Canis lupus familiaris: one gene and its partners. The protein of the gene in region 2 interacts with the protein of the main gene of each other region in a biochemical or structural test. Links are inferred from orthologs where the notes say so. Each region holds a gene or a part of one and is shown on either strand. Other genes may lie near its edges. The genes, in order: UBE2E2, UBA1 and UBE2C.

Region 1 (3,647 bases), on a different chromosome or scaffold from region 2:
TTAAAGGAATAGACACACTGATTTCTCTGCAGAATTTTAATATTGTTAGGTATTCTCTATTTCATTAAATTCTGCTCATGTCTCTATCTGCTTTTATAGGATTTACTGTTATTCTTTTCTTTTCCTTAAGCACTCAATAGATGCCTTTCCTCCTTTCTAATTTGTGTATTTGAAACTGTAGATTTCTTTATGATAACTGTTTTAACCAAATTGCAAAGTTTGGTATTGGCAGTCCAAACATTTCACTGTCATTCAGTTATAAATGTAGCCAATTTTTTTCCTTTGATCCAAGAATTATTTGAAAAATGTGTTTTTCAGTTTCCCAAACATTTGATGGAGAATTTTTGTGGTCTTAATAATTCTTTGAAATATCTTAAGCTTCCTCTGTGGCTTAGTATGTGATCAGTTTAAATATGTTTCTTATGTGAATGGAAAAGAATGTATATTCTTTGTTAAGTGTGGAATTTCATTTTCATTCAATCCCTTGATTTTGTTAATTTGGTTGTTCCTATTTTCAGTATCCTTACTACATTTTGGTCTGGATGACTTCCGTTACTACAGCAAGATGTCCCTCTGATTGTAGACATGTCATTTTCTCTATAATTTTGCTAAATTTCACTTTTTATATTTTTGGCTATCTTATTAGGTACAACAGTTTCAGAACTGTTACATTTTTCTGATGAGTTGTTCATTTTATCATAATGCAGCAATCTTCTTTATTCATTTTGCCTTAAACATATATTTGATCTGATAGTAATATAGCCACTTAAGCTCTTTTTTTTAGTTGGTGTTTTCATAGTACATATGCCCACGACTTAGAATTCAGAGGAAACATTTTTCTCCTCACTTCAGAGCATAGGCTTTCTCCAGCACATGTCTTTGCTATCTCTCCCAGAAGGCATTTTCTTTTCAAGTCCATCCATTTACTGGGATCCCTGGGTAGCTCAGGGGTTTAGTGCCTGCCTTCAGCCCAGGGCCTGATCCTGGAGTCCCAGGATTGAGTCCCACATCGGACTCTCTGCATGGAGCCTGCTTCTCTCTCTGCCTGTGACTCTGCCTCTCTCTCTCTCTCTCTCTCTCTCTCTCTTCTCTCTCCCCCTCTGTCTCTCATGAATAAATAAAATCTTTAAAAAAAAAAAAAAAGTCCATCCATTTACTAAAAGACTAGCTGCTCAAGTGGCCTAATCTATATAAAGCCTCTCAATTCCAACCTCTTGCCACATGTAGACCTAAGATTTCCCCTTTCTCCATGAAGGCGTCAAATCCCAAGCCCCCATTTTATCAAGACTAGCTATTCCCTCTTCCATAGGTCCCACCCCTGGCAGCTACACTGTCAGCTCATGTGCTTAGTGCGATTCTTGGTTTTCAGTTCTGGCCTCTGGGAAATCTCTGTGCAAATTCAGCTATGCATTTTTTTAAATGTTACAGTTTCCTCAGCATTTTTAGGTATTTGGAGTGTGTATAGAAGAAATGTTAAAGTTCTCCATAAGGTCTGGCATGTGGCTAGAAGAACAGGTCTTATTAGGAATACTCATCTAGCCTGAAAATGGTACTGTGTTGTTCAATAATTGTAGAAGACTGGATCTGTCCTGAGTCTTGATTTTATGCAAACTAAATAAATTGAGTTTGAGTGGGTGCCCTGGTTAGGTGGCAACACCTACAAATATCTGCCATATATTTTTTGGTTCATAGCCATTTTGAACTTAGATACCAGAAGACTGGTATTTAAAAAAAAAAAACAAGATTTTTTTGTATATTTCAACTTAAATGTTGAGAATACTTATAAACATGTTATTAATAAATAGTATTAATATCTTATTATTATTTACATAAAACTTCTATAAAACAGAATTTTACCAGAGTTATAAAACTGATTTAGACTTAACTTTTTAATTGAAGTTCTTTAAAAATGTTATAAACATATCTCAAAATTATACCTAAACAAAGTGCAGTGGTAATCTACCTATCATAGGGAAGAGGTAGACTATGTTAATATTATATTCAAAATATAGAATTTAAGGAGGAAAGGATTCATAAATTGTAACTAGTATAGTTTCTTTATAAACTTAAGGTATATTATTTACATACATGCCTAATTCATGTTTTCAAACTGTGACAGAGAATAGTATTTATGTCCTTTTTACAATATTCCAGTGCTGTTTTGAACTTTAAAATATACAAGTCCTTAAAACAATTGGACTCCCAACAAGTTTCCTTTGAAATTTTTATTTTTTGAATTTTTTTCTTTCAAATGCTTTTAGAAATCACAGTTAGTTTTTCCCTTATGAGCATTCCTACAATTGCACTAAGAGCAAATTCAGTCCCCAGAACATTAGTTAAGTGATAGGACTCTTCATCAAAAGCAAAAGGACATGATTTTGCTATTGGGGTTTAGTTCTCTGTGCCAGAATGGTTCAAGTTCTAAAATAATGATTTTGTTTATTGATTCTTCTTATGTGCCTGAGGAGAAATTTAAGTATATGGTTCAACCAGTGACCCTTGGAATATTTTGTCTAATAAAAAGTATATCTATTTATAACAACTTTACATTTTCTTCTAGGTTACCTTCCGAACAAGAATCTATCACTGTAATATTAACAGCCAGGGTGTCATCTGTCTGGATATCCTAAAGGACAACTGGAGTCCAGCCCTAACCATTTCTAAAGTTCTCCTCTCCATCTGCTCACTTCTTACAGATTGCAACCCTGGTAAGAGACTTTAAGTCCAATATTGAATTCTTGAATAAGTCTATTCAAGACTTAAATGTCAGACCTTAGTGAATTGTTTACTACCACCACCACCACCACCACCACTACTATTATAACTATTATTATTATTGATTTTAAATTTCCATAGTATGTAACTGCTTTTGTTTTAAATTGGGTTTTCTCATTAGTCTTTTTTAAGGTCTATTATTTGCCAAGAAGGAAAGAGCATAGTGTGATAAAAATTAATGAAAAATCATTTTGGATAGGGAAGTGCATTTAAAGAATGCATTATATTCTGCTGCCAAATAATAATAAAAATTCAAATTGAATAGCTTAATCTTTAATTAGATGCCTACAGAAGATGTTAATTTGAGAAATGTGGGCTATTAAAATCTGATAACAACCAGCAGCACCACACAGACGTGACCTTGTTGGCATTTTAATAACCATGCGTCCTTTCAAGCTAATAGAACAAAAAAGCTGAATGGTTGTCAACTAGGAACTATAACTTTCTAGGAAAACTAAAGAGAGTTTATAGCCAAGCCTTTGTGGCTTGCTAGGGTGCTTTATGCTCAAAGTTCTTATTTTCTGTGTTATACTAAATGTGTGATTATGTGTCTTTGACCAGATTCTCTTAACCAGAAGACAAACCCACTGCCAGTTTTTTACATATTTGGGTTTATTTTGGAAATTACAAAAATCCAAAGGTAGCTACAGAGTTTTCATTGATTTTTTTTTTCAATGAGAAATTCTTCTTTGAGTATTTAATTAGTATTGAAGATGAAGTTCTGTCTTCCACCTTCAGGAATAAACTCACTAGAAGGTGAAGTTTTAGACAAGAGAGAAATGACAAAGGGGAATCAGGGTCTCTCTTAGGATCCTGGCTGGTCTATAAAACATAAAGAAATTATAATCTGTTTGACTTTTGTACGTTACTTA
Region 2 (3,647 bases):
GTCTCCATACTAATTCACCAACTTTTTCTTGTCTAGGTTGGTGCTTTGCATTCCCAGTAATTAGGTTGATTGGCTCCAGGGTCCTAGCCAGCCTCCTGCCTTCTGGGTCCTCCTTCCTCACACCTCATCCCTTAGCTCTATGGGCTGGGCCCTGAGCTTGGTCCTGACTCTCTTCTCCCGGGAGGCATTTGGCAAACAGGCCCGCACCAGCTGCATGACTGTGGGCAAGTGATTGAGTTCTCTCTCTGAGCCTTTGTTTTCTTACTTGTGATGTGGGCATGAGGTTATCTCGTTCGTGGGCATTGTTGGGATTAGACAAAGCCCTTTACCCTGTGATTGACGGGCAGTAAGCTCTTGGTAGATAATAGGGAGCTTCTGTTCTCCTGGTTAGTGTGAGAGTGTGACAGGTGCCAAGATGGAATCTTGGGTACCATGGGCGTGTTCGGTGTGTTTGGGGGTCAGGAAAGTCTCAGTGTAGGTGGCTTACAGTGGGGAGAGCATCGGTGGCGAGGGGAAATGATTGAGGGTCCTGTTGTCTCTGGCATGGGGATCTGGTCATACACAGATCTCACTCCCACAGCAGACTCCATTGTTCTGTCTCTGGGACCCAGTGTGTGATGCCTGGCAGGTTAGCTCAACCTCACGAGCTCAGGTTTTCTCATTTGTCTGGCAAAGGTGCTCAGCCCTGCCTTGCAGGGCCGGGACCATCGAGGGGATGAAATGTGATAACCTCAGGCAGCAGCCTAGGCTTCAGGGTCAGCAGATCCTGTCTTGGGCTCTGCTTGGCCACTGTGTTTATGGGAACCTTGGTCGAATCACCAAATGTCCCCAAGTGAATTTTTTCCCTCAACTCTGAGTTGGGGGATGTTATTGATGGTAGTCCAGATCTCACGGAGATGCCTTAAGGACAAAGTGAAGCAAGGCTTAGCGTGACATCTGGCACTGGGAGGATTCCTAATAAATATTCATCTGCCATTATTGTTAACCTGTTTAAGGGACTCCACAGGCAAAAGTGTGTATTTTTTCTTCCCATGACCTTTTTTATTGGCTTGGGCCTTTCCCCTCCCAGAGCTGGGTGGGGGGAGGGGGCTTTGGAAAACCCTCTTCCCCAAGCCCCTCCGGGTACTGGGTCTCCGGCAAGGTGTCTCCTGCCATCATGCTACCCTGATGGAAGTCTAAGCCACATTTCCCTCCTGCACCCCTGTCACGGGGGTTAAGGGGGAGGAGAACGGCTGCTTTTTGTTGCCTGCCTGCTCTGTGCCAGGCTCTGTGGTCTGGGCTCTCTTTCATCACTTCGGCAACTCCGTGGGGTAGGTAAGTGGCACTGTTAGCCCTTTGCACAGGTGAGGCAATTGAGCCAATGGGGCTTGAATGAGGTCTGTCAAAGAGTGGCAGGGTCTGACCTGAGCTGACACCCTCCTCTGACTTTCCCACAAGGACATTCTTCTTGTCACTCCTCTCACCCCGCAGGACTGGAGTCTCTCCCTCATGCTGGGCTGGGGAGAAAGGCGAATGGCCTAGTGGTCAGCAGCATGGATTGCAAGCCAGACCACCTGGGTTCAGATCTTAGCTCTGACAGCTGTGTGACCCTGGGCAAGTCACCTCACCTCTCTGTACCTGCCTCCTCTTCTGTAAAATGGAGATACCAGCCCTTAAGTCTTCCCTTCCCCTACAGTCACCACTAACCAACTGTAATACCTACATGCCCTAGGCTCACCTCTGATACTCCTTTTCCCTTCCAGATGTCCAGCTCGCCGCTGTCCAAGAAACGTCGCGTGTCCGGGCCTGATCCAAAGCCGGGTTCTAACTGTTCCCCTGCCCACTCCGTGTTGTCCGAAGTGCCCTCGGTGCCAACCAACGTAAGTGTCTCCTTCCTGGACCCTGGCAGGTTAGGGTAGTGAGAGTGGTGGGTGGGAGAGCCTTCGGTATCACCGTGCATCTGTCCACGCCCTCCTCTGTTTCTACCCAAACCTGTTCTTCTCCTCTGTCTCTAGGGAATGGCGAAGAACGGCAGCGAAGCAGACATAGATGAGGGCCTTTACTCTCGGCAGCTGTAAGTGGGGCCTCAATTGGGCTAAGCACGGGGAGGGGCACTGGGAGGGGCACTGGGAGGATTGGGTCTGGAGGACGAGACCTTGACCTGGAACACCCCCCAACCCCTCAGGTATGTGTTGGGCCATGAGGCAATGAAGAGGCTCCAGACATCGAGTGTACTGGTGTCAGGCCTGAGGGGCCTGGGCGTGGAGATTGCCAAGAACATCATCCTTGGCGGGGTCAAGGCTGTCACCCTACATGACCAGGGCACTGCCCAGTGGGCTGACCTCTCCTCCCAGGTACCTCTTGCTAGTCCTTCTCCCTTGCTGAGGTGCTGGTCCCCCACCCCCAGACTCGACTGCCACTCCCTTCTTCCCTGGTTCCCCTTTGCAGTTCTACCTGCGGGAGGAGGACATCGGTAAAAATCGGGCTGAGGTCTCACAGCCCCGCCTCGCTGAGCTCAACAGCTATGTGCCTGTCAGTGCCTACACTGGGCCTCTGGTCGAGGACTTCCTTAGTGGCTTTCAGGTACCTTGGGCGCAGTGGGGGGTTGCACACCACCCAGCCTCCTGCCCAGTTTTCTCCAAACCCACTTTTCCTTTGATCATTTGTTCTCTATTAAATGGGCCAGCCTGTGTGCCAGGTTTCACACTGGAGATGCAGGTGGGTTTTAGACCCTGGACCTGCTTTTTCGGAGGGCAGGGGTGTGAATGGGCAGGCCATAGAGCGTAGTGATTATGAGCACAGGCCAGAGCCAGACTGCCCTTGAGTGGGTCTCCAGTTCTATTAGTATGATCTCAGGCAGGTCACTTGATCTCTTCTGCTTTGTTTTCTTTTTCTTGTTTGTGGACTTGGGACCGGTAGTAGTACCTACTTTGTAGAGTTTCTGTGAGGGCTAAGTGCTTAGAATAGCAGCTGGTGCATGATAAGGGCCATCTGGTTATTTGTTAAATAAAAACTCTGAGCCCGAAAGAGGAGCTATGGGAGCTGAGTTTGTGCCCTGGGGCATCCCAGTGGCCGGACCCTGCTGCTGAACCTGAAGTAGTTGTAGGAGCTCACCCTGGTGGGCAAGGGTGAGCATTCGGGTAGAAAGAAAAGTCCCAAGGTACCTGGTTCAGCAGGCATTGTCTGGAGAATTGGAAGCAAATGGGTGTGGTAGGAGTGAGCTCAGACTTTGGCTGTGAAGGGAGGTTTACTTCTGTGTCTCCCAGGGCAAGGCAGGCCTGTAGGCGGGCAGCAGTGGGTGTTGATGCGTAAATGAGTCAGCTCCTCTCTACACTCTCCCCTCCTGGCTGCCTCATTACCTTGTCTGCTACCTTGCCCGCCCTGGTGTAGGGATTCGCATTTCTTTTTGCTGGGTTTCACCCTGGCCGAATGTGATCCGTAGTAGATGCTTTGGGAGACAGTATCCACGGAACCATAGTAGATAATTCTGTGAAAGCTTTAAGGACTCTTCTGAGTCCCCCCTGGTTCCGGCCTTCCTGCATTATTCTCTCCCTCTTGCCCCAGTGCTGGGCCCTTGTCCTGAGCCTCCACCTCTCCACAGGTGGTGGTCCTCACCAACACCCCCCTGGAGGACCAGCTGCGGGTCGGTGAGTTCTGTCACAGCCGTG
Region 3 (3,747 bases), on a different chromosome or scaffold from region 2:
CGTGCTGTTGAAGCGCCTCCACAGACCTGACCGAAGCCAAGACCCCTGGCTACACTTGGCAGCCCTCCTCCAAGGCCCTGGCACCCACGTGGCGGAGGCCACTGCTGGGACTGCACCTGGATGGATCTCAGCAGCATTAAGCTGTGCCTGGGCTAGTCTGTAGTGACTCACTACAGAGCACCCCCAGACTGGCGTGTGGTTCTGTTTGTAAAGTTATCGGGTTAAGAAACAATTAAACAGTTTGTAATAGTGAGCTAGATGTGCAGTCTGTGTTGTAGGGGCCAACAAAATACCGAGGGATCTAGAAGTGGGTGTAGGAAAAAAAGGACCAGGTATCCCTCCCCCATCACAGGTAGACCCAGTAAGGTCCCCCTGCCCAGGGCATTTCTGCTTCTGAGACGGAGCTGGGAACACCACGGAGCACCGTGCCAACCTTCCCTGGCTCTCGGCTTGTTTCTTCATCCCCTAAGGTACAGAAGTGGCAGGATGTGATGGCTGGCACCAGGAGGTCGATGACAGACCAGAAGAAAAACGCGGAGAGGCTTTTATTACCCCCGTTTTACACGTTGAAATACTAAATGCCGTGCCCGAGGTCACACAGCAAACGCTGGGAACGAGCCTGTTTGTCGCAGTCTCCCGCTCTTGCCGTCATTCCCCTCCCATGAGTTTTCAAACACTGGACCCCACGGAGGTGTCCGGGACGTCACGATGTGTCGTAGGGGTTTCCGGGGAGAGGGAAGGGTACCAATGTCGTCAGGCCGGAGACGCTGCCTTCCGCCGGGAAGTAGGGAATCCCGCTGGGCGCGCCGGTCGCTCCCTCCCCAGCCAGGCGTTTAACCCGAAAGGGTTCGGCCCACGTGGACTTTTTCTTGGCCCTTTAATGGTCGGCGTTTTCCAAAGGCCACCACTCCGCCGCGGAGTCGTTAGTTAATGACAGCCTCTTCTGCCAATCGCCCTTCAGAAGCAGGTTCCCGCCGCCCAATAGTGCTGCGCCGGGGGGCGGGCCTAGCAGTTGCGCGGTGACAGAGCGCCCCGGCGCGCCCCATTGGCTGGATCAAACCCAAGCGAGCCGCTGATTGGCCGGTGCTGCCGGAGGGTTACGATTCAAACGCGGGCGGGCGGGCCCCGGCCCCGCAGTTGCAGGCCGTGCTCTCCGGGTTCCTGCCTCCCCCCCCTGCGCCGCCGGGATGGCCTCCCAGAACCGAGACCCAGCCGCCGCCAGCGTCGCCGCCGCCCGGAAAGGAGCCGAACCCAGCGGGGGCGCCGCCCGGGGCCCCGTGGGCAAGAGGTGAGGAGTATGGAGGTACCATTGGCCGGGCCGGCACGCCCTGGGCCCTGCGGTCCAGAGCTCGGACTTCCGGGCCCCCACCTCCTGGAGTGGGCAGGTATGCGGGGCCGGAGGGCACGCCGGGAGCTCGGGCTGCCCCCAGAGGGGCCCCGAAGGCGGACAGGAGGAGGCGCGTGGCCGGGGCCCTCCGCAGGTGAGCCAAGATGAAAGTGTGCCTGGGCCCCCGGTGGCTTGGAGTAGGGGGAAGCGGGGACGGAGTGGGGAGAAACAGGGATCCGGCACAGGGAGAGGCGTCAGAGAAGCTGAGGGGCCAAAGAACAAGGCAGAACAGGGATCCCTGGGTGGCTCAGCGGTTTAGGGCCTGCCTTCGGCCCAGGGTGTGATCCTGGAGTCCCAGGACGAGTTCCTGCATCGGGCTCCCTGCGTGGAGCCTGCGTGGAGCCTGCTTCTCTGCCTCTCATGAATAAATAGTAAAATCTTAATTAAAAAAAAAAAAAAAAAAAAGGCTTAACTGAACTAAACTGCCTGAGCCTGGAATCAGGAAGGGAGAGAACTCTGCCAGAAATGGGGTTGAGTGTGCCCCTGCCGCGTCTGGCTGGCCTCAGGGTTGGAGAAGCCTCTTTGACAGCTCTTCCAGGGACCCCGGGGTTGGGATTGGGGAAGCGGCACCGGGTGGAGCGCTGGCCCATGCAGGCCCCCAGATGACTCCCAACACTTACGTTGCAGGCTGCAGCAGGAGCTGATGACCCTCATGGTGAGTGACTACCTGCCCAGACCCCAAGCCAGGTGATCCACCTTCCACCTCCCATTCACTTATCAGTAGTGGCCTCTCCTACATCAGGCTTTTTGCTAGACACAGCACAGGAGATAAAAGGATGAGTCGGGTTTCCTCTCTTCTGGGCCCCACCTACACCTTTCCTTCCAGCAGTGTCTACTCCAGGTCCCCCTCAACCACCACTACCACCACCACCACCTTTAAGTTCTCTCTAAAATACAGCTCCTGGGATCCCTGGGTGGCGCAGCGGTTTAGCGCCTGCCTTTGGCCCAGGGCGCGATCCTGGAGACCCGGGATCGAATCCCACGTCGGGCTCCCGGTGCATGGAGCCTGCTTCTCCCTCTGCCTGTGTCTCTGCCTCTCTCTCTCTCTCTCTCTGTGTGTGTGACTATCATAAATAAATAAAAATTTAAAAAAATAAAATCTTTAAAAAAAATAAATAAATAAAATAAAATACAGCTCCCCCCAAAAAAATAAAAAATAAAAAATAAAATACAGCTCCCGAGGATCCTGGATGGCTCAGCGGTTTAGTGCCTGCCTTCAGCCCAGGGCGTGGTCCTGGAGTCCCGGGATCAGGTCCCACATCCAGCTCCCTGCATGGAGCCTGCTTCTCCCTCTGCCTTTGTCTCTGCCTCTCTCTCTCTGTGTCTCTCATGAATAAATAAATAAAATCTTTAAGTAAAATAAAATACAGCTCCCTTGCTATATGTTGGCAAATCAAACTCCAATAAAAAATACATACAAATAAAATACCGCTCCCTGATGCCAGGCAAGTCCTTCTCTCTGTGCTGCCTGGTCCTATTTCCCACACCCAACTCTCCACCCTTACTCTTCTTAGGGAATATACCTGTCAAACTTTCAAATAATTTTTCCTAGATGACCTTGTCTACTTTAACCCTGAATATCCAATTTAAATCCTTCTATGCTGATGTTGTATATCTCCCCGGTCTGTGAATGGTCCTTAGGCTTCGTTTGCAGCCAGTACTAACTAGCATGTTGAACCCAATTCCCAGCATCCAACAAGCTGCCTTCTGTTTCTCTGCATAACCCCTCCGCCCTTAACACATCCAGTACTCCTCCCCCACGGGGGCAGGTTCAGCCCCAGGAATCGAATCACTTCCTCAAAAAAGCCTATCAGTTTGGTCTGGTTGCTTTATTTTGGATCAAAATTTGACGAGCTTAAGGGGAAGGGTTTTACCCACTGATCCCCAAAACCATATTCTGCAGCCCAGCAGGTGTTGTTTCTTCCCCAGATGTCTGGTGACAAAGGGATTTCTGCCTTCCCTGAATCAGACAACCTTTTCAAATGGGTGGGGACCATCCACGGAGCAGCTGGCACAGTAAGTATAAGGTTGAGGTGGGTGAGTCTGGGGAGAGGTATGAGGTGAAAACCAAGTGCAGGTCAGCTTAAAGCCTGGCAGGACACTTCCCTGTTCTGTTCCTGTGCTCTGAGCCTGTGGCCCTTGTCTCCCTCTGGATAGTAAGAGGTTGGGTTTAAAGCGTAGCTTTCCATCTTAGATGCCTAGAAAGGGCAAGACGGAATGAAGAACAGAGGGTACGTGAGGACTTCAGCCAGTGGAAGGGCACAAGTCCCAAGATGGCAGCTCCCATTGCTGCACATCTGGTTTAAGTCAGAAATCCAGGGGTCCCCTGCGGGCTCTGTCAGTGAATGAATGTAAAACGC

Evidence for each region.
Region 1: of the proteins of UBA1 (region 2) and UBE2E2, one has a biochemical effect on the other in vitro, tested with the Homo sapiens proteins (4 studies listed by BioGRID, with this or other methods). The link is inferred for Canis lupus familiaris from reciprocal best matches to the Homo sapiens genes UBA1 and UBE2E2.
Region 3: of the proteins of UBA1 (region 2) and UBE2C, one has a biochemical effect on the other in vitro, tested with the Homo sapiens proteins (5 studies listed by BioGRID, with this or other methods). The link is inferred for Canis lupus familiaris from reciprocal best matches to the Homo sapiens genes UBA1 and UBE2C.

The regions. Positions count from the first base shown.
Region 1 is NC_049244.1:20,515,300-20,518,946, reverse strand, and holds part of UBE2E2 (ubiquitin-conjugating enzyme E2 E2), read left to right. Parts: intron 1-2,560; coding exon 2,561-2,708; intron 2,709-3,647.
Region 2 is NC_049260.1:40,993,258-40,996,904, forward strand, and holds part of UBA1 (ubiquitin-like modifier-activating enzyme 1), read left to right. Parts: intron 1-1,470; exon of another isoform or gene 1,471-1,593; intron 1,594-1,742; coding exon 1,743-1,859; intron 1,860-1,994; coding exon 1,995-2,053; intron 2,054-2,164; coding exon 2,165-2,333; intron 2,334-2,427; coding exon 2,428-2,562; intron 2,563-3,580; coding exon 3,581-3,647. UniProt on the Homo sapiens protein: Catalyzes the first step in ubiquitin conjugation to mark cellular proteins for degradation through the ubiquitin-proteasome system.
Region 3 is NC_049245.1:33,750,461-33,754,207, forward strand, and holds the start of UBE2C (ubiquitin-conjugating enzyme E2 C), read left to right. Parts: upstream 1-1,123; 5' UTR 1,124-1,187; coding exon 1,188-1,288; intron 1,289-1,359; exon of another isoform or gene 1,360-1,481; intron 1,482-2,014; coding exon 2,015-2,042; intron 2,043-3,316; coding exon 3,317-3,403; intron 3,404-3,747. Other genes in the region: DNTTIP1 (deoxynucleotidyltransferase terminal-interacting protein 1), read left to right, coding at 1-30. UniProt on the Homo sapiens protein: Accepts ubiquitin from the E1 complex and catalyzes its covalent attachment to other proteins. In vitro catalyzes 'Lys-11'- and 'Lys-48'-linked polyubiquitination.